3 linked regions of the Struthio camelus genome follow. The protein of the gene in region 1 interacts with the protein of each later gene in a pairwise test. Links are inferred from orthologs where the notes say so. Each region holds a gene or a part of one and is shown in the gene's direction. Other genes may lie near its edges. The genes, in order: HSPD1, TMCC2 and SAMD3.

Region 1 (7,052 bases):
CCACTTGAATACCAACAGTTGCATTTTTTGAATGCTGCGAACCCCATGAAAAAATTGCAGTGTTTATCACTGACAGTGCCACCTTTTGGGAACCAGCTTAGTTTCCATTCACAAAGTCAGGAAACCTACCTTATCATCTAGTACAATCTTAGTACCACCGTATTCTGGCAGCAAGACCTTTTCACCAACTTTTACACTTACTGGCTGAATCTCACCATTCTGAAAGAAAAGAAGAAAAACTTTTTTTTTTTAAAAAACAGGTAAACAGGTTGATTTAATGGCAAGAATTCCTTCAAACCATAGTGATCCTCCCCCACATAAAACACTCAAGCAATCACAGTAACTACATTTTAGTTACGCAGTGAAAACTAGAATGCGCAAGTTACCTAGGAATAAAAGCACCCCAGTCAATTCTCAAGCATCAGAACCCTGCAATATTTCAACAGCAGAACTGCAGTGGATTTTCCTGAATGCAAAGTACTTCCGTTAGTTTGAGTGTAAACGCAAACTGAACTCTTCACTTGGCATTTTGAGGATGACTTCGCTTTAAGAAGTCTGAAAAGTTAAGTGACAGACCATGAAATCCCCCTCTAAAGCAATCAGGAAAGTCCATTTCCCTATTCTGTGACCAAGGCTAATTTCTTGAAGTGACAGTTAAGAGCGCCTTCTCATCTTTGTTACTTTGATTAACTTGTCAGTATTGCTGGCAGATCTATTAAACTCTACCACAGATTTCCAAGCATAAGTCTATACTTATGTTTTCGTATTATAAATTATTAGCTAGTTAGTCAATTATTAGCACCATTTCACAATATAAAGCTTTGAGATATCATGCTTTTTGTCTCAGTATCTATGGAAGGACTCAAGGTAAAGAAAGAGTCTGAGTCAACATGCACAAGTTAAATTTTAAACACATTTCGCACTATTACTACTAAATGGATACTTTCTTTGGTGGGGAAAAAAACTTGAAACGTTGAAGCCCACAGGCCGATTAAGACTATGAAACGAAGTCAAGACTGTCACTATCCTTTTTATGATCCTAGACCTGTTTTTTTAACACGTAAAATTCAAGAAAACTGACCTAACAGTTATTTTTGATTCCCAATTTTCTTTTTGTCCAGTAAGCCTAACTGATGCTTACGGGCAACGATATTTTGCACCGCGTTAAGACACAGAATACCACATTCTGGGATTCCACCCTGCTCACAAATTACAGGAATTCAGGCATGCGATCAGCAGCAGTTGAAGAAATAAAGCTGCCAATCCCATACGTTTCACCTGAAAGGTGATCAGACAAGGCATCCCAGAAAATCATAGTTTAAGTATTCAAAACTGAAAAAGCCTCCCACTGTTTAATGCTGCTTGTAAATATCAATAAATAACATTCATTTTTGAAAAGCCATTATTTCCCATTTTAGAAGCAAGAGGAAGGCTGGAATTCAAGGTCAGAGCCAATGAGGAAAGGGTGGACACTTGAGTGAAGTTTGAAGTGCAGACTCAAGAGAGGCGGTAGGAATCTCATCATCCTCATTTGTTGTCATGAAGTGTAACCAAATTTATACAGCAACCGATCCCTTTATGTTAAGCTTCCAGCTACCACCACACCATTACCAACTCTACCCAAAGTTGGATCCATTTACCTTTCCTTTGGCTCCCGATCCAACTGCCACTACTGTTGCTTGTAGCACTTTCCCTTGAGCTTTTTCTGGAATCATGATGCCTCCTTTGGTTACAGTCTCAGCTGCACATCGTTCAACCAGAACACGATCAAAGAGGGGAAGAAATTTCCTAAATGCCTTTCCTGCCTGTGAAAGGAATTGTATATTGTAACAGGAAGATCACTACAAAAAAAAAATGGCAATAAAAAAGTTCAAACCCTCACAGTGGTTTATCTTCCAAGAGAAGTCAAGAATTTAAGAAAGATGCTGGGTAGTTGTTCTTAATAGTGGCAAGTATATGCAACCTTTAATGGCAGCAAAAAAAAAAAAGTTAAAGAAACAAGCAAAGTTGAACCGCAGGTGTTCTGTATCTCAAGCCTAGAAACAATTCTCTCTTGAGCAGAATTAACAGGCACACCCTGGGCAGTCCTAAGATTTCAGCCATACAAAGATGTACTCCAGCTAACATCATAAATCACCACCAGATGGAGCTGCCTTCTCATTTGGCTGGAAAATTCCATCAGCTTTTAAGCTGCTCGATTCTAAACCGTTAGTGCTCCTGTAATTTAGTTAGCATCACTATTGATGAGTATATGAAATGTATTTATTGAGTCACAACCAGATTTAATGAAGGACCTCTCGGGCTAGTTTTCTGGGGGCATTTTTATCGGCTGTACTGGAACGTTTAATAGTAAAAAAGCAAAATCTAGCATGTACTGTGTGTATTTTTCAGGTATTTTCAAAGCTTAGCATTTCATATAACAATTTACAGCTTCTAAAGTTTGAAGTCTGAAGTGAGAGTGTAGTTTTTTTCTACTGAGTTCTACAAATAGACTACAACTTTGCAAAAAAGTGAAGGTTTTTGTAAACCCCCAAGAATAAGCAGCTAGGCACATTTGTGTGTTGGCTGCTTTTCCTTCATGTAGGAAACTAGTCAACAGCTACCTCTGCTTAAGAGTTAACTTTTTTGCTACTACCTACTGCTGCTACTGGCTGCATTTCAGCAACAGTAGCTGCATTCTCACAGACTAAATGCAAGTGCAGAGTCAGGGATAAGGAACATGCTTTGATGAAGAGCAAAGGTCTGGAGACTTGCCAAGTCACGTGGAGATAGCGCTCCACTAGACAGGTATCCAGAGCCCACTCAGAGAAGGTTCTAGCATCCAAGGTCCCTTCCCCGAGACCCATCGTTATACACTCTCATGCTTTAAAAAAAATCAGGAATGCCTCAAAAGTTACAGGCAGGACAAACACAAAGCCCAGTAAACAAAAGATGCTGTCCCCATTTCCCCCCTCCCCCCAAAAAAACTTGCTACTACTACAACGTGGAAGAAAAAAAAACCCGCACAAATGGAAAAGGCTGCCAGTTATGAAAACAACAGCTCTGAGCTTCATTTATTTTTCAAGTGACCTGTGCTTAAGGGAAATAAGCAATTAGACTTATGAACACGGATATTTTACACCGAATTAGAAAATGCGAACACAGGAAAAAAATTCCAGCTCCACGGTAAGGGCGCCCCTGCCCCTGCCCCGCTGCTCTTCGCGGCGAGCTCCACCCGCACAAGCTCGCCAAGCACAGGCGCTGAACCCCCAAGCGCCTTTCTGGCTTCTGTGCCACCAGGCTCGGGGGCCAGGCCGCCGCGCCGCACCCCGCCCGCCCGCCCGCCCGCGGGGCTCCCGAGCGGCCCGTCTCGCCCCAAGGGCGCGCTGCCCTTGCCGCGCTCCCAACGGGCTCCCAAAACGGCCCCGCGCCCGCCGAGCCGAGCCGCCGCGCCGCGCACCCCCCCCGCCGCCGCCGCCGCCGCCGGCCCGGGGAGGCGCCCGCAGCAGTGGCGGGCGCTGCAGGGCCCCCGGGCGGCGCAGAGCCGCGGCCCCCCGCCCGCTGCTAGGCAGCGGCGGCAGCAGCACAGGCCCCTCGCAGCCCCCGCGGCGGGCGGGCGGCCGGGCGGGCACTCACTCACCATGGCGGCCGCCGCGCTCCCCGCCACCGAGTGACCCGGGCCTGCGCCGCGCACACGTGAAAAAGGTCACCACCTGCGCATGCGCGCGGCAACCCTCCCCCCCACCCCGCGCGGCCCGCCCCGAGGCGGAGCCCTTCCGCCCCCCCGAGCCGCGATTCCGCCGTTTATTTTTCCCCGCCGGGCCCGCGGCCCCCGCGCAGGGCGGCCGCCGCTGCAACGGCACCGCGCCCCGCGCCGCACGGGGCCCGCCGGGCCCCGGGGCCCCGCGCCGGCCCGGAAGTGAGGTCACGTCACCTTTGACCCGCGGCGAGCATGAGCGTTCCAGAAGGTTCTGGAACTGGCGGGCCCCGGAACCTGAGTGGCTCATGCCGGGCCGCCAGGGCGCATGCGCGGAGGGCGGGCGGCGCCGCAGCGCTGCGGCCGTGCGCCCGCGCCAGGGGCGGGGCCGCGGCGGCTATGCTGGTTCCCGGGCTGGGCCGCGCGGAGCCCCACATGGGTGGCTGCCTGGCCGGGGGAGGGGCCGAGCTAGTGAGTGCTGAGCGCCTTCCCGGGCTCGCGCGCAGATCTGCCCGCTCCGCTTCGAGTCCGGACGGCGGAGCCGCCTGCCGCTCTCCCCCGCCTTGCACAGAGGTGAGCGTGTGGGGCTGCCCCTGCTCGGGGCCCGGCCGGGCTCGGCCTGGCGCGGAGCGGCCTTGCCCGGGGACGGGGGGGATGCCAGTGGGTCGGGTGCGCAGCCCCCTCGCCCCTTGCCCTCTGCCTTTTGGGCGTTGCGGCGGTTGCGGCCGTTAGGGGCGCGCGCCGCCTGCAACGGCTCTCGCGATTCGAACGCGGGGCGCTGCGGCCGCCTTCAGAGCGGCGCGCGCTGCGGACGGGGGCCGCGCGCCTGCGCCCAGCGCGTGCGCGCGCCCAGCCCGGGGCCCTGCGGCGGCTCGTGCGCTTCCCCCCGCGGCGGCGGGGGGGGGGGGCGGGGGGAGGGGCGCTCCGCGCCCGTGCTCGTGCTCGGCCGGGGGTCGCGGCGGACCAGGCGGCCCCGCGGCGCTGCAGCGCGGCCCGCCCGGCGGCAGGGGGCGAGCGGCTGTTGACCTTGCTGCGCGTGTCCTGATGGAAGGAGACACGTGGCCGGCGGCCCTCTCCTGCCCGCCGCGGCCGCGCCCGGCTGCTTCTCCTCCTCTCGCCCCGGAGCAAGGGCTGCCCGTGGGAGGCAGGGTCGGGCGCTGGGGCCTCGCCGGGCCGCGCCGTCAGGGCGCTACCCTGAAGCGCCCCGCTCGCCCGGGTGCGCGCGGCCGCCCCCGTTTGCCGGTGAAGTGGTGCTGCCTGAGGGGATGGATCCGTCTGGCAAACGGAACGGCTTGTGTGCTACAGCGCCCTGGCCATCTCCCGCCCGACAGCCGGGAGAAGCGAGGCGGGAGGAGCTCAGAGGTGCTGGAGGCTGCTCCATGAGGAGCTGCTGGAGCTGAGGTCTCCTCTTGAGGAGCTGGGCGCCCGAGCTCTCTTACCCTCAGGTAATTGTATGTCTGCGTTCGAAACAATCGGAAAATGAAAGGTCATGGTCACTTGCTTTACTACCTCAATTTTGGGAGGTTTTTTTTTCCCCTTTTTATTCTAAAAGTCGCCGTGCAAAGGACACGGTATTCATATCTTTCTGTGGTGGTGTTTTAATCTTTTAGACATGCTTCGTTTATCTACACTACTCCGTCGGACAAGGCCAGTGTCCAGAGCACTGGCCCCCCATCTAACGCGAGCATATGCAAAAGATGTTAAGTTTGGAGCAGATGCCCGAGCTCTTATGCTTCAAGGAGTAGATCTTCTAGCAGATGCTGTAGCTGTCACCATGGGGCCAAAGGTAATGGAAGGTTTTGCATTTGTACTATGTTAACGCTTTGATGTGGACGAAAATATAACAGTGGAAAACAGTTGTCACTTTTCCTAGATAGAGTTGCATGTTTTCCATCTCCATATCTGCAAGACAAGGATAGGAGAAGGAGTGTGGACAGACCACTGCAAGCAGCCATATTCTCATCTTGTCAGCTGAGCCATGATAATAGTGGACGTGTCCTTCATAGTCGTGAAGGAAAGTACGTTTGACTCCTATGAAAAGTGCAGCATAGTTGCTTAAACAGTATAAAGCAAAACAGAATAAGAGCGCGTGCGCAGTTGATTACTATAGCTGAGTTGGTAGCCTATGACAGTACCCTTGATAATTTGACTGCTTATAATTTTCTTTGCATCCTGAGGTAGTTTAGCTAATATGTGATTTTTTTTTCTTTTGAAAGAAATTATTTTCTGTTATCGTCGCATCGTGTAGTAGTATTAACAAGGTGAGAGAAACATTAAAAGCATAACAGCAAGTTTTTCATTGCAGGTAAATGTTACCAGTTTTTAAAAGGTATTGAAACATCCATGTCAGTGGCATTAATTTGTACCATGTATAGAAAAGATTTGTAGTGTATGATCCCCCTTTCAAGTTCAGGTTTTTGGAAAAGTAGCTGCTGTGTTCTGCATAGTCATACAACATGCCGTAGGTCTTGAAATGAAACTGCTCTGAAAGGAGGAGATGCAGATTTTCTTCAGGCTCTCAGGAATATCTGTTTCAAGTTAGCTCTCAGTAAGGATTTCTTAGGGATTTCTGACTTGTCATGAGGTAGCATTGATCAGGTGTTAGTGGTGTATGTGGAACAATGGTGAAAGTGGTTGCAAACTGCAGTTCTTCAGTTACTTCGCCTTACTGAGTAGCTACAGTGAATTATTTTAGCTCCCTGGTAGGAGTAAATTATATAGTTACAGTTTTGCCTCACTTTTAAAGTGAACACGTTCTGTCATTCACTGCTTGTGAATGTTTTTAATACAGGCAGTTTGCTTGTTTTTTAGTTTTTACTAAAGTTACTTAGTTTTTTTTTTTTTACTTAGTTGTTAAGTACAACTTTCACGTGGAAAGACCTTTTTATTGTTATTATTATACACAGTAGTTAATAAAATCCACGTTCAAAGTAGATAGGTCAAAGCATATCCTAACAGTATATGCATGGTAGTTCTTCTCAAGGCTGCTTGGCCCCTGTGAGATTACTTAACTTTTTACTTACACATTTCTGCACCTTTTTTTAGCTTTATTCAAAGGCAAAAATGCAATGAACTGAGCAGGTGAAGATAAAGGAACAGTGAACTCAGCAAGCTGTGGCTGTTTTCCCTAGGTACAGTTCTCCTAAAAGGAACACGTTTTCAGTGGCTCAGTTGATGAAACTGTTGTTTTGCATCAGCTGACGTTACAACTGTTTAAGGGTGGTTTTAATGCACTGGTTAAAGGACAGTTTCTGATGCAACCTATTGTAACCTTGTGGGTTTTTATATTCCAGTGCTTTCACTTTGATTTATGTGTTATTCTCCATATGTTCATAGAGCAGTTAGGGTTTATACTGTTAATGCCTATTTCAGTTTT
Region 2 (7,623 bases), on another chromosome or scaffold:
TTTTGTTTGAGACCTTTATGTTTACTTTTCACAGTTTATTTTTCCACTTAAGCTGTAAGCAATAAGAGACCTGTCCAATCTACTTCCCAATTCCTATGCGTTTCACAAAACAAGAGTCAGTATTCAAGCCTCACCACACTGCAGAGCAGCACAAGTCTCAAGAACTGCTTAGTCAAAATCCTTCTCACTATAAAACCACTTGCAGGGCAGATTTAAGGAAAAAGTGCTTCTGAAGTCACAGATAACTGTGCTCCTTAAACCTTTTGACACCTTTGAAATAGCCTCCCCACATCAGACCAGAGAAAGTAGCAACTAAATTTCAAACAGTCCTAGAAAACATAACTAAAATTTCATAGAAACAAGAAACTCTGCTCAAAGGTGATTGCAATTAGTCTATCATCAAGATTTATTTAAGAAAACTAGCTACATTCATACTTTATCAACTCCAGTTCTTCTGCTCTTTCCATACTCCCCGTAAGACTGCAACCACTGACTTCTCACTTTCTAGTGTGGAGACTTGTTAGCTTGGTCTGGGTCCCACCCAGACCATGTTGCCACCTCACCAGTTTGAGAACTGCTGACTTATGTTTTATTCTTATCTTAATAACAGCAAGTGTTATAAAGTCTCTCAAGTTTGAAATCCTGAAGCAAGAGCCTACATTGTATTTATTGTTTGCATGAACAAGCTCTAAACCAGATAGTCTTTCTTTCAAGCCCTGGATACTTAAAGGCCAACTGGTGACAGTCAGCAGTAAAGCCAAGCCAGCACAATTTAGACATTTGAAAACTAGTAGGAATGAACTGCACCATATCAGAAACAACAGGCAGAATATCTGGTGCAATCTTTACCCTAGGTCAGAAACATTTAATTAATGATGCATCCACAGCCTACAGAGCCCTGCAAGTAGACTTTCAAGGATGCAACTGAGAGTCGACTAGAAACATTTTCTTCCATTTAGGTTCTTCTTATAGCAGTGATTCCAGTGGAGCACTGCCACTCAATCAGCAGGGCAACTGACAGAAAAAGAGCAAAATCAACTAGTTCCTACTTCCTGGAAATCGCAGATAGACGTAAACAAGCAGACTCAGAGACGAGATTTCTACAAAGCTTTCCACTTCTATTCTGAAAGTTTACATGGAACACTTCTTGTCAAAAAGAAAGCTCAACAACACTTTAATTTTCAAGTCATAATTGTGAGCATAAGACAAGCATGGACAAGTATCCTGGACAAGTAGCCAATAGAGATGACTCACGAGCCATTTGAAAATGAATAAAGACCTTTATATATATAACGTCACACTAAACTCTTCTCACAAGACAGTCTTATGGAAGATGAAGTTTTGCACGTGGCAGGAAGGCTCCTAGCAGGAGCAATGTTTGTCAACTGTGACAGATGAAGATAAAGCAGAAGAACGAAGCAAAATACTACTTCCACAAAGCTTCACAACAGACACGCTGCGCGGCACACCACACGCCGCCCAGCGAGCCACCCACCTCCCCGCAGTTCCTAGCCCCCCCACCAGCTGCTCTGCCCCTCTCCCAGACACCCCCACCCCAGCACCCTCACCCACACCCTGACCTGCTCACTTCACCCCACAACCCCTCTCGGGCCTCCCAAGCCTCCCCAGGCGCCCCCACCCCCAGTCCTTCCCAGCCTGCCTCACTGGGACCCCTTGCCCCCGCAGCACACCCCACACCCCTCAGCTGTGCTCTCCCCCCTCCCCATCACCAGCTACACCCTGTGCCACCCATAACTCACCCCACAGCCCACCTGCGCACCCTCACCCCCACATATCACAACCTATAGGTCCCCATATATCTGTAACCCCCCCAACCACAACCCTCACTCCCCACAGTCTGCACCCCATAGCCCTCTCCCCTGCACTGCTCGCCCCCCCAGCCCTCACGCCAAACAACCCTGCCTGCACCCCATTACCCACCCTTACAGCCCCCCAACTTGCACCCCTCACCCCTCCAGTCCAGCCCACCCCCCCAATCCCCGTACCCCTCTTGCCTCTCTAAACGCCCCCCCACAGCCCAGCCCACCTCGCCTACACCCCTTTCGCCACAGAGCCCACCCCACCTGCCCCGCACAGCCCCTCCGGAGCCCACCTGCACCCCTTATCCCTCCGTCCCCCCAGCCCCCCCCCCAAACGGGCATGCCCCCCTGCGGCCCCCCCGGCCCTCTCTCACCGCTCGGCGCGGGGCCGTCGCGGGGGGCCCCGTCCCCAGCCGCGGCGGGGGGGCCCTCGCCGGCCGCGGCCAAGGGGTGGCCCTGGGAGTACTTGACGTCGCGGAAGAACTTCTTGGTCTCGCGCAGGTTGTGCTGCAGCCGCGCCAGGTGCCGGTTGTAATGGCCGAAGGAGCGGCAGAGCTCGCGGACCAGGCCGCCGCCGGGACCCCGCCACGAAGGGGCTCCGTCGCCCTCCATGTCCTCCGGGTCCGTTCCGCTATCCCCTCCCCAGCCCGGGGGACGCTCGGCCCCTGCCAGGCTGCCGTCTCCGGCCTCTCCGCCTTCCCGGAGGGAGCGGCGCGCCCCCAGCGGCCGGGCCTTTCCTCGTTTTCCTCCCCCCCCCACCCCTCCCGCCTCCCCTACCCCCGCCGCCGCCGCCGCCGCCTTCCTCCTCACGGACGGCGCCGCAGCAAGCCACGCTGCGTGCGGAGCGGAACCTTTATCCGGGCGCCGCGGGGCAAAGGGGGAGGAGACCGGGGCGGACCCCGCGGGCGCCGCATCCCGGGAGGTGTAGTTCCGCCGCGCGGGGGCCGCTGGGAGTTGTAGTCCGGTGGGCGCCGCGGGGGCCGCTGGGAGTTGTAGTCCGATGGGGGGGGGTACGGGGGGGGGTGGCGAACCCCTGCAGCCGGCCAAGGCCTGCCTCACCCCGCCGCATCCTGCTCCTCCTCCTCCTCCTCCTCCTCCTCCTCCCCGCCGCCGGCGCCCCGCGAGCAGGCAGCGCTGCCCCGTCCCTCCGAGCCGCCTGGCGCAGTCCCCAAGCATCCCCTTTTCCAGCAGATGGAAAATATCCCCGATAAACACTTTTTTGTTGTTGTCCTTCAAGCAAACACTTTCCCAGGCATTTATTTTTAAAATATATTCCCAGTTGCTAGGATTTCTTATGAAAACAAAGCGCTATTTTTTCCAAGACATAAATCGTACCTCTAGACGAGAATTCCTAGGGGCTGAAATTCGCCTTTGCCCTTTGCTCAGGGTTGGCATGGGACTGAGGTACCATTTAAGGTCACTTGCGCTGCCTTGGAAGGCTTGGGTGGCGCTTTGTGCCATGCTAAGTGCTTTATTGTTACGATTCAGTCCAGAAGCAGCAGGCCCAGACCTTAATCCTGGCAGATCCTAAGCAGAGGCAACATGAGCTGCCGGTTCACGGACCGAGAGTCCAGCTCAGTGTAAAATGAAATGATGCTGGGAGGTTTCGGGAACTAGGGTGAGACCTGCAGAAAAAAATTGCACTGGGCTGTCATTTACCCACCCGTGAAGCAATTATAAGCATTATCTCATTGGAGCAGCTGGGAAAGGCCGGTTAGTTCATGCTCTTTAGATAACGCTAGCAGGGTTCTGGGAGGGTGGCTCTGGGAAGGCAAAATATTAGAGTTTAAGTCTCTCTTTGTCCCCAAACTTTTTTTTTTTTTTTTTTTTTTTGCTTACGTGAGAGGCCAATTTAGTGATGCAGATTTAGCGCCGTGGGAGCACAGCCCAGGGAGCAGCGTCGTCGCCGGCCACCGAAGCCCGGCCATCGCGCCAAGCCAGCCGCGCCCTGGCGCGCAGCAACCGGCTGCAGGCGGGCTGGGGGCTCGGGATGAGCCCCGGTGCCCCCAGCGAAGGCCGCCGCCACCCGCTCCGGCTGCTGTCGGAAACAGGACAACGCGGCGCGTTAAGCCCTCGCCCCTCATGCGGAGCAGCTGAGAGCTACGGCAGGGCGGACCGCGGCGGGCGGCCGCCGACCGGCAGAGCAGTGGGGAGGACGGGGAAGAATTAAAAAATTAAATTAAAAAATGGAAAAATAAAAATGTATGGTTTATATTCGGTAAAGATGTGTATTTTTAAAAGGAAAAAAAGAGAGAGCGCGCTGCCTCCGCCCCGGGCAGCCTGGCGCAGCGGCGCGGCTCGCCGGAGCGGCGGGAGCGGCCGGAGCGGCGGGAGCGGCAGCGGCGGCGGCGGCGGCGGCGGCGGCGGGAGGGGGGACGGCGCGGCAGCACCGCGCGCCGCGACAGCTCCTCGCCGCCGCGGCCAATGGGCGCCGCCGGCCCCGCCCACCGCCCGCCGCCATTGGGCAGCGCGGCCGCCGCTCAAGCCGCGGCGGCGGCGGCGGCGGCGATGCCGATGCCGATGCCGGCGGGCGCGGAGCCGGCGCGGCGCGGAGCCGCCGCCCGCCCCGGGCGCGGCGGGGCAGGCGCGGGCAGGGCGGCGGCGGCGGCGGCGGCACGCAGCCCGCGGCCCCCGCACCGGCCGCCCCGGCGCCGCCCGCCGCCGCCCTAACGGCCGCCGCCGCCGCCTGCCCGGGGGAGCCACGGCGCACCGGCATGAAGCGGTGCCGCTCGGACGAGCTGCAGCAGCCCGACGAGGACCCCGGCGCGGCGGCGGCCGCGGAGTCGGAGGCGCCCGGCCCCGCCGCCATGGAGGCCAAGCCCGGCGAGGCGGCGGCGCCGCCGGAGGCGGGGGCCGGCCCGCCGCCGCGCACCAAGCCCCCCGACCTCAAGGTGAGCCCCGGCGGCCGCCACGGCGTACCGGGGGGAACCGCGGGGGGGGGGGCAAGCGCCCCGTGGGGGCACTGCTGTGCCCGCACCCTGGTGCCTGCTCTGCTACAGGTGTGACCTTGGGGGATGGGGGATGCTCCCGCGATGGGGATGCTCCCGGGATGGGGATGCTCCCGCGATGGGGATGCTCCTGGGATAGGGATGCTCCCAGGATGGGGATGCTCCCGGGATAGGGATGCTCCTGGGAATGCAATGGTCCTACGATGCAGGTGTTCCTGGGAACGAATGCCATGGTCCCTGGATGGGGATGCTGCTGGCATGGGATGCTCCTGCAAATGCAATGGTCCTGGGAGGAGGATGCTGCCAAAAATGCAGTGGTCCTGGGGATGAGGATGCTCCTGGGAATGCAATGGTCCCAGGATGGGGATGCTTGGGGATGCTCCCAAGAATGTGATGCTTCCAGGACGGGGATGCTTCCAGGATGCGGATGCTCTCAAGGCAGGTTTGCACCAGTGTGCTCGAGCCTGAGCATCACTGAGGCTGCAGGCCCCCAAGAGCAGCAATAATAAAGGGGGGGGGGGGAGAGGCAGGGGGACCCTGACGACACCGGCGGCCCTCAGCAGGGAGCTGCAGGAAAGGTGACTGCATCCCATGGCAGTCCAGGAGGGGTCTCGTGGCCTTTTTAGGGGCAGAGGGGGCTAACAGAGCTGCTGCTCTGCAGAGGAGCTGAGCGGATCCTACTAAATATCCATCGGAGTCGCCCCCAGCACTGCGCGTGTGGGCGCTGCTCTGGGAAACACGAGTCAGTCTGGCAGGATTCGTGCTGCTGCTGCAGCTGAAAGTGGCAGCGTAGAAATGGCCCCAAGCCTGCTCCTTCTGTGTCTTTGGGCTGTGTCCGGTTAACGAGGAAAACGAGTTTCACTGCACTGCAGAGCTATGGGAAGGGAGCCGGTCCTCAGTGGGCTGGAGGCACTGGCAGGGGTACGAACAGCCAGAACGGGGTGGTCCCAGGTGAAGTTTGGGCAGGAATTTCCTGTTGGTTTGAATACAGAGCAGCTCAGATCCTCAGATATTCAACAGGGGCCGGCCGGCGTGGGACGCAGCGGGGCTTTTGTGCAGGGATGAATTTCCTGCTTGTAACTTCGATGTTTCCGGGCGCTGCAGCACATTGCTGCTGTGGTCAGAGTGTGCTCTTGGTAGCGCTTTCAAAGGCAACGGAAGTGTTGCTTCCACTCTTTGATTTCAAAAAGGGCTGGACAAAAGTAGAAAACGTCCCTAGTCACCCACATGCAACCAGGCATCCAGCATGGTAAATGCTCATTGTGAAGCTTTCCAGCAGAGCCCCTCAGCCTGTCTTCTAGCCTAGAAAGTCTTACTGGTGTGGTCAAGGTCATGCAGGGAGCTGGCATCATCCCACCCACTCCATCCCAAGTCCTTTTTCACCTGCAGTGAGTCAAAAAAGGGATGGAAAATGGAGCTCCAGGATGCACAGTGTGGCCTATGCTTTGAAGAACATATCATCGTGGTGATGACCAGGAAGCCCTAAGGGTTCTTTAGGTGGCACGTCCAGCTCTGAGCTGGAGCCCAGCCTTGTCTGTAACCTGGTCAAGCTCACAGCGCCATCCGTGGCCAAATTCCCATTGATTTTATCGATGCAAGTAGGATACCCTAATGCAGAATTGCTTCTCAAAGCATGTCTTTAAGCACATTTGTAGCTCAGCAATTAATTGCCTGCATGAAGTGACTCCTCCAACTTGCTGTGCAGGACAGGCTGCACAAAAACCAATCTCAGTGCTGCCCACAGCTCTGGTGAGCGCTGGGCCCTGATTCCTGGCCCTGCCACTGACCGACTGCACCAATTCAGTCACTTCACCTGCTGGTGCCACTTTTAGTGGCGTCTTTAGAAAGCGGACAGTAATCTTAAACGTTTTCCTGCCCAAAACTCCTCCTTTTCCTGGACTGCCTTCACTACGGTGAGGTCTGTTCACTGCTAGCAAATGAGCTGGTCCCTTGCCCCTGTGCACACTCTGCTGTCCACAGCTCCAGTCGGATTGGCTTGGAGCCACTGACCAAGGCCCACCAGTTCACCTCCCAGTGGATATCAAACAAGCATCGGATGTAAACTTTTGTTTGCTGCCAGCCTGAGACAGATTTGAGCTGGCAACCTGGAAACAGAAGGCTGCATTGTGTCGTCTCCAAACCCCTCACCCGGGCAGGTCCTCCCTGGCAAGTACATGGCAGCTTTCCTTTCGCCAGCCCCAATTTCAGCTCTTTTTTTCTATGAGCAACTGCTCCATTAGGAAAAAAAAAAAAAGAAAAAAAAAGTTCTGGCAAGGAGTAAAGCAGATGCATGACACACAATTCTGCTTAAAAATATGTTGGGTGGCAGAGATTTCCTGCGCTCTGCAGCAGAGTGGCTGGATCCATACAAAACACTGCAGAAGGAAACATCCAGGCCTTTTACTTCTGGAGACTGCCCGGCTGTCCCGTGGTGTTGCACCAGAAAGGCATTTATCACTTAGATCATCATTCCCCACGCATCTCTGATCTGACTGTTTTCCCTCGGTCTCTCTTTTCTCCCAAGTGGGCTGATCTGACAAGGGTGGCAAGCTGAAGCCTGACATAATGTCCATCTCTGGTGTCATGATCTCAGTCTTTGCGGCTCCTGCCTTTCCCTCCTTTTGAACCTGAAAGCCAAGACCAGCAATGAGTATGGAGGCACTATCCAGAGCCCTTCTTTTTTCCTGGGACCAGAGGAGGCACTCAGGGAAGCCCCGCAGGACGCGCAGCCCCAGAGCCGGTGCAGCCTGGCCCTGTCCAGAGCAGTGGGGCTGGGACAGCGTGTCCGGAGGGCTGCAGTGATCTCACAGCAGCATTTACCTGTAGCGGGTCAAGCCCGCAGTCCTTCCTTAGCT
Region 3 (6,956 bases), on another chromosome or scaffold:
GAAAATAAGATAATTTTCTCTTGTAACTAACAGTTATTAGTATTATTGCATTATTGCATGGTTTGTGTACTGTTATCAGTGATAGCAAGGACAGAGTCTGGTCTGCATGAATATTACGTTGCCTTAAAATACAGTCAAATTAAGTTTCTTTTCTTGCTTTCAAATTACCAAATAGTCTGTACAGTTGTAACAGAACTTGGTATTCGGGTGGAAGCTTGTCTCAGCTTTCTTTGTGACAGCTTTCTTTCCAGTAGCGCTTTAAATTTTACAGATGAAAATGTTTTTAAAGAAGCTTGCAGGGTAAAAACATGGATAATAGAAACTCCATATGTAATCAGAAGCAAATGTTTTAGGGAAAGAGTAGATTTAGGTATAGTAATCTTCAGAGTTAATCCTGCAGCAATGGAATTTGTCTGCTTGATAAGCTCAGCAGACTGATACATTGAGGAGTGTTGATATTCCCCTGAACTTTGATCAAGATTTAGAAAGGGCAGTCTGGTTTGTCCTTCTTGAAACAACTTCTTTTAATGTGGGACTTGTTCCCCTTTATTTATTTCTGACTATTGTGAGTGCATGTTTTCTTCTTTGATCTTCCTATGTAGCCTTACTGTTGCTTTGTGTGATTATAGGTATGCAGCTGCCTTGGTCTTACGCTACAGTAGCATGGAAATGAGAACTGAAACATGCACTTTGAGACTTACTCCTGCATTGATATTGGAATTTTCTTTCCCTTCCCTCATGTTGCTTCATTTGGCAGTATCTGTGAGCATTCAGGGGAATGCTTTGTGCTAGCCTGTGCCTGATAAACATCAGCAATCAGAGTCGGTGTTTTCTTTTCTGGGGGAAGGGGGGAGAGGATTTCTCTTCTGAGTATTTCCCTATGCATTATTGAAAAGGTTGCTGGATAGCTGATGTCCTTTTCATGGTAACTCAGCGCTATATTCAGAGTGACCCAGTTCTACCTTCTGTAAAGTAGCTTGAGTATATTTTTTAATTACTTAAAAAATAGGTAGCAAGCGGAAAGAAAATACTGAAGTCCCTGTAATGCCTACAAAGATTAAAAAGAAATTATAATAGCATTAAAAGCATACACAGAGGATACTTTAGTTATGTCTTTGTTATGCCCTAATTCCTGCTTATCACCCTTGCGCTTTGAGACCTGGCCACGTAGCTGTGGCATATGGATGTGCACACATCACATTCCTCACCTTGGTACTGGACCACACTAAACCTTAATTCTAACCTCAGTGACATCAGCACAGAGGTTAATGTATCTGTATGCTGTGATGCCATAGGCTTTTTCTCATGAGTGAGTGTGTGAAGTAAATATAATAACTCGCTTTCCTTGTATAAAGTGTTTGGACATATAGCTTCCTTCATTTAGAAGAAGTGTCATTTCATATTGATGACAGCTCATTATATCTTCTACTAAAACAAGCTGTATGGGAAATTAGTGCACCCACATGACGGAACTATGCTGGCTGGGAATCTCATCTCTGTATACTGTTTAGCCAACTGCATCAGCAGAAATCTGTAGTGTAGATGGGTCTTTAGCTTGATCTGATTAAAAAACCAAGCTTTTAATCCTTCAGCCTTGAAGGATTTTGCACTAAAAGCAAGGGTTGTCCTGACTCCTCCTAGGCACACCGATGAAATATTGGTAAACTCCTAATATTAGTCCTAATAATAGGTGTCTGAAGAAATGGGTCCCAGTGCTTTGTTGTTTTTATTAGCAGGCAGGGATTGCTCACACTTAGAACTATTCTGAATTTGACTTGAAATCATGCTGTAAATGGCTAAAATATTGTCTGTTTTTAAAAGGTTGCCTTTACGTTTTTTGTTGTTGTTCTGCCTTTTAAGAGTTGATTGAAGAATGAAGAATATAAATATTCTTGTGCTTGCACCGTGCCAAGCACAGTGACCACCCTGGGTAGTCTTTTGATACTACTGTAATAAATAGGATTAATAATAAAGACCAACATCAGTATTCATTCTCAGTCTTTCTAGTTGTCTCAGGAGTGCTAGTACAAGACTGGTGGGCTCTTTCCCCAGCTCCTTTACTCAGAGTATTTGCATGTAAGTGAAATCACTTTTGAGAAGTGTTTTGAAGTATTTGTGTGTAGTGACCTTATTATATATCATCTGGTTTTCTGCAGCAGCCTCCAAACTGCCATCACTTCCCTCCCCCTGAAGTGCACAGCCTGCATTTCCATGTGCAAATGGACATTTTGCTGCAGAGTTAGCGACACACTGATGAAATGTATATGCATATTGTTTTGTGTGACTATAGTTTGCTTGACAGTATTTGAAAAGTTGATATCTACTCGTCTGCTATAGCATGACCTAGTCTAGGTTGCAAGTCTTCTTGCAGGATGAAGCAGTGACCTTTCTGCCATCTTAATGTATCTCTCATTACTTTTACACTACTTGGTTGATAAGGCAAGTATCTTTCTGCTTTGCATTCTGTTTTATCTTTCGAGTTTTTTGAGCATCTCTTTGTCCCACTCTTTGCAAGGAAGTAAGAAGTGTGACGAGAAGGTGTGATTTTTAATTTACACCAGAGTTCTCAGCAAATAATGATTTTTCACACCCTGTTATTGCTGCTTAGCCTGGGGAAGGAGTTGTATGGCTACTGTTGTCATATCAAATTAAATCCACTCATGTAATTCAGAAAGACATGCCTCTTCCTTTAACCCGTTATGTTGCTGAAGTGTATTGGCACAAGAGCACAATCTGAAGTGCATCTATTTTGCTGGTCTGTGTTATTGAAGGGTGAAAAGCAGAAATGGTTTTGTATGCAGATAGTGCACTTTTTTTTTGTATTGTATTGTAGTGGATCAGCTCCTGATGAGCTTTATGTAGGTGAATTCTCATGCTCACTTGGAGTTCACTGCCGCCTCGGGGTATGTACGTGGATGTATCTTGAACAAGGAAATGCTTGGCCAACAACGCCAGACAGTCGTGCTCTCATCTGAAAAACTTCCTTGAATCATTTTCAAGGATGGAGTATAGGAGTATAGGAGTACTTGATGATCCTTTAGCTCATTTACGTAATAGAGCTGAATCACATTACTATGAAAATCACTTATGGGAAGAGTTTTCTGCTACAAAGGAGCTTGTAGACTAGGAAGACCTTTCTCTTTACAAGTAATCCTCTCTTTATGAAGTTGTTACTGATTTTGCTTGTTGGGATATTTTGGTTACTTCTCAACCTGAAAAAAGTTTAGGATTCTGTTAACGGTAAGGGTGAATTTTTATTTCAGTATCAAACTTGTAGCTATTTAGGGCCTACAGTGAAGCAAAATGCCCTGCTTTCTGTATTGCCTGCAGTGTCTACCAAATTTCAAGCAGCATGAGGTGGGGAGGGGCTGAATATGGTGAACTGGATTTAAGCGGACATTCAGTGGTATGTGATTTACTCTCCTCACAGTTCAATTAAGTCCTTCAGGAAGGAGTCTGTGATACCTGGAGCGGAAGGGATTTGGCAGATTGACCGGGAGCCTCTCTCTGAGCTGCATCCCATGAGGCACTGAGTTCCTTCAGCACCAGCACCTAGAGGTGAGGCGCTCAGTGGGGGCCATCTCCGTTCACTCATATCCTTCCATGGTGTCTGGCATGTCCCCTCCCTTTTCCAGAAGCTTTTATTGCCCCTAATTGTAACTGAGGCTTAAGCATTTGCTTGACTAGCTGCTTGGTGGTACAGAGAGGGTTAATATGTGCTTGGTTTACTATAAACCTGTATGTGACAGACTCTTATCAGATCTGTTTTTTTTTCTTTCTGTAAAATGTCAACCATTTCCTGATGAGTGGTGGTGGTGAATTTCACACCTTTTTCCTCTCTGTGTGGAAACCTGGGTGTTAAAGGTACCGGAGCAGGTCGTGTTTTAAAAGGAATGAGGCTGTCTCTTAGAACAGAGGGAAAGCAGGAAAAGGAGAGGCGGTGAAGAAAGAGGGGTCTAAGAAAACTGCTACTTGCAAAAGGCATTAGTTTGATCATTTCCCATTAATTTTATTCAGACCATGTAAGTATAATACTGTTTGCAGGAGCATTTTTTCTACAAGATGTTCAAGTTCAGTTTAGAGCTCAGCATAAAAATAATCCTCTGTCTTCATTTCACAGTGAAATTTATCTTTGCAACGCCTGAAGATGGAAAGTTGGTCGGTTGATCAAGTCTGCAACTGGTTGAGACGGAGAAATTTAGGAGAATTAGTTCCTAAGTTTCGTGGTAAGCGTTTTGTTTATGTGTGTTTTTTAGAACATATTTCTTTCTATGCTTTTAATTGGCATTACTTGTTTTGGGGTATGTATATCTAGGCCAACTTAAGGCTTATATAGAAATTTATTAGGGACATTGCTGACAGACCTGGTAAATCGAAGTAAGTGTGTAGATATATTATCAAGTCTGTGAGAAATGCTGAGGGGAAGATTAAGCCTACATGTAAATAGGCACGCCTTCTAGAAACAGAACTGGCAGTTTAACAGGCTGTGACTGGGCCTATTTTATACTGTATACATCTTTTGAAATAATTCAACTGTAGTATGTAAATGTTTTCTGCCTGCGTATATAAACACTCTGCAAAATAGTGCATAAGAAATTATTATGTGAACATGGTATGCTATGCATTCTCTTAAAAAGCTGACTTTCCTTCATTAACAAAACAGCAATATGCTGTGGTCTAAGCAAAGTCTGATTTAAAGCGTTAAAATTGTCACTCACTGTTGTTTATTTCAGACCTGTCATTTTGTTACTGGAAGGTATCTGGCCAGTGACTAAAACTTCGGGCGCTGGCTTGGAAGGGACAGTAGCTAAAACAAATTATCTTTTTTAATAGTTGAAGAAGAACATCAGCAGTAGAAGGCATCTTTTTACCTTGGACCTGCCCTCCATTGTCATGTTTTAGAATCTTATTATAACTGTAAAGTATCTTACTGTAATTATAATCTTATCCCTTTCCATCTTCAGAAGAAGAAGTAAGTGGAGCAGCTCTTTTGGCTCTTAATGATCGTATGGTGCAGCAGCTGGTAAAGAAGATTGGGCACCAGGCAGTGCTAATGGACCTGATTAATAAATACCAACAACAAAAAAATGGGCTAGAATCCCTTACCTGCTATTGTGAAACAGCTTCTCCAAAATTCCCAGAAGCAATCAGTGGGTGAGTCTGTATATGGTAGAGAAAATATCAGTCTGAGTACATCCATATTCTTTTCTTAGCATTTTAAAATTGATGTTTACTAGCTCTACTGCTGTAGGTTGCAACTGTTTTTACACTTTGAATGATCTCTGACATCATGTTAAATATGGTTCTAACTTTGTGTTTTTTGAACATACCATCAACATTCCTGGACAGTACCAATAATTTAAACTGCCCTTCACTTCCAGTTCTAGGACCTAGTTCTAATTTGCATGAAGCATCATCAAACTTTTCATCACTGCAGCTGAAATGTTCTGCGTTTGCTGTATTAAGGTTTTGAGGCATTTACTTTTAAATGCTGTAACATCAGAAACCTTCGAGTAAAATCATGTGATTTAGCTAGAGATGGTGTTTGTGGCACCAATGTGTTTAATCTCCCAAAGGAAACCTTCTGAATTTGATCAAGATGTAAGCATTTAATAATCACAGCGTGAGCTTTCAACGATAGACTAGATTAGATTTTAGAAAACAAATTCCACAGAGACTGTCCTCATTGAGCAGGCTCCAGCTCTTGGTGAGCAGGGTTTTTTTCTTACTTTTCTCATTCTGATCTATTATAAGCCAGGCTAGATTTTGTTTTGGAAATCTTGGGTGAGAACAGAGGTCCTGGGCTCTCCGTACGTTCTCTTCTAGGCCCAAGAAAGCTAGAAATAGCCTGCAATGGGTGCAAAATGCCATTTTTATATGAAGGCACATTCCCCTCCCAGTTTTGAAGGAAAGGACTATAACATTAACTGTGTGCAGTAATAGTCCAATAGAAGTAGATCTGTAGAGCATTTACTATAGCATTTACTTTCATCCAAAAGGAATCCAATGTGTGTGCTCTGAAATAACTCCACAGCGCAAGCCAAAGGATGGTAAATGGTGGTGGCTGGGTTATTCCCTTCCAAAGCACAGTAATAAGAAGGACTAAAATACCTATATAGACGCATTCTGTCATCCTTGAGTCTCAGAAATGTTTGTGAAAGCCGCTCAGAAAATGATCCTGCACTGCTGGAGGGAAGGAGAGGCCAGGAAGAAGAGGATGTCACTGAATATATGTTTTATCACAGACTTTAATTATGCAATCAATCACAAGCAGTCTTGGTTCTTTGCATAGAGGTCCTGCCTCACTTGATTTACAGGAAGCTTGTTCTTTGAAGGCAGAGCGAAAATCTGCTGTGAAGAAGAGTACTGTTTGTAAGCCCACTACTTCATTCGAAGCACAGCAGGTGCATAGTGGTTGCAGCAGGGGATTTCCAACAAACAGATATGTTCTTATAGTTAAGGCAGTTTGAATGCTGTTTTGAATGTTTGGATTCCATCCTTGACTTTTTCAGGGATGTCTGGCTAGACTGCTTCTCAGATACGATTGCTCCCCATGCCCTCCTCATGTCTTACAACGCAGGCCTTATTGTCTCATAAAAAGCACTCAGTTGCAGTTGTGCGTTCAGGTCACGGCTTTTCTGCAAATTCCAGAAAAAAATCAAATGCCGGAAATCTCAAATATTAATAAATACCATTTACCTTAAAATCTTTCCTTGGCTACTCTTCCTGCCTAAAAAGTAGGTACTAATATTCCTCTATTTAGAGGGAATTTAGGTAAATAAGCTGTTGTTTGTGAAGCATTTTCTGTGGCAGAGTCAAGAACCACATAATAAAACTGTTAAGCATGTTTAAGAAATCCATATGATCATATACTTTAAGATCAAGGTATTGAATAGCTGGTTTCTGCATAGAATGAGGTAAAGCTCCCACTGTAAAGACAGTATTTCATTAGGATA

Evidence for each region.
Region 2: the proteins of HSPD1 (region 1) and TMCC2 interact in a two-hybrid assay, tested with the Homo sapiens proteins (2 studies listed by BioGRID). The two-hybrid records come from large-scale screens. The link is inferred for Struthio camelus from reciprocal best matches to the Homo sapiens genes HSPD1 and TMCC2.
Region 3: the proteins of HSPD1 (region 1) and SAMD3 interact in binary tests that used the Homo sapiens proteins (3 or more experiments, as listed by UniProt). The two-hybrid records come from large-scale screens. The link is inferred for Struthio camelus from reciprocal best matches to the Homo sapiens genes HSPD1 and SAMD3.

The regions. Positions count from the first base shown.
Region 1 is NC_090947.1:11,797,138-11,804,189, forward strand, and holds the start of HSPD1 (60 kDa heat shock protein, mitochondrial), read left to right. Parts: upstream 1-4,018; 5' UTR 4,019-4,249; intron 4,250-5,286; 5' UTR 5,287-5,288; coding exon 5,289-5,462; intron 5,463-7,052. Other genes in the region: HSPE1 (10 kDa heat shock protein, mitochondrial), read right to left, coding at 130-219, 1,641-1,805, 3,620-3,622. UniProt on the Homo sapiens protein: Chaperonin implicated in mitochondrial protein import and macromolecular assembly. Together with Hsp10, facilitates the correct folding of imported proteins.
Region 2 is NC_090965.1:7,178,838-7,186,460, forward strand, and holds the start of TMCC2 (transmembrane and coiled-coil domains protein 2), read left to right. Parts: upstream 1-4,519; 5' UTR 4,520-4,534; coding exon 4,535-4,711; intron 4,712-7,623. Other genes in the region: DSTYK (dual serine/threonine and tyrosine protein kinase), read right to left, coding at 2,195-2,432.
Region 3 is NC_090944.1:70,804,036-70,810,991, reverse strand, and holds the start of SAMD3 (sterile alpha motif domain-containing protein 3), read left to right. Parts: upstream 1-3,886; 5' UTR 3,887-4,022; intron 4,023-4,120; 5' UTR 4,121-4,147; coding exon 4,148-4,226; intron 4,227-4,964; coding exon 4,965-5,154; intron 5,155-6,956.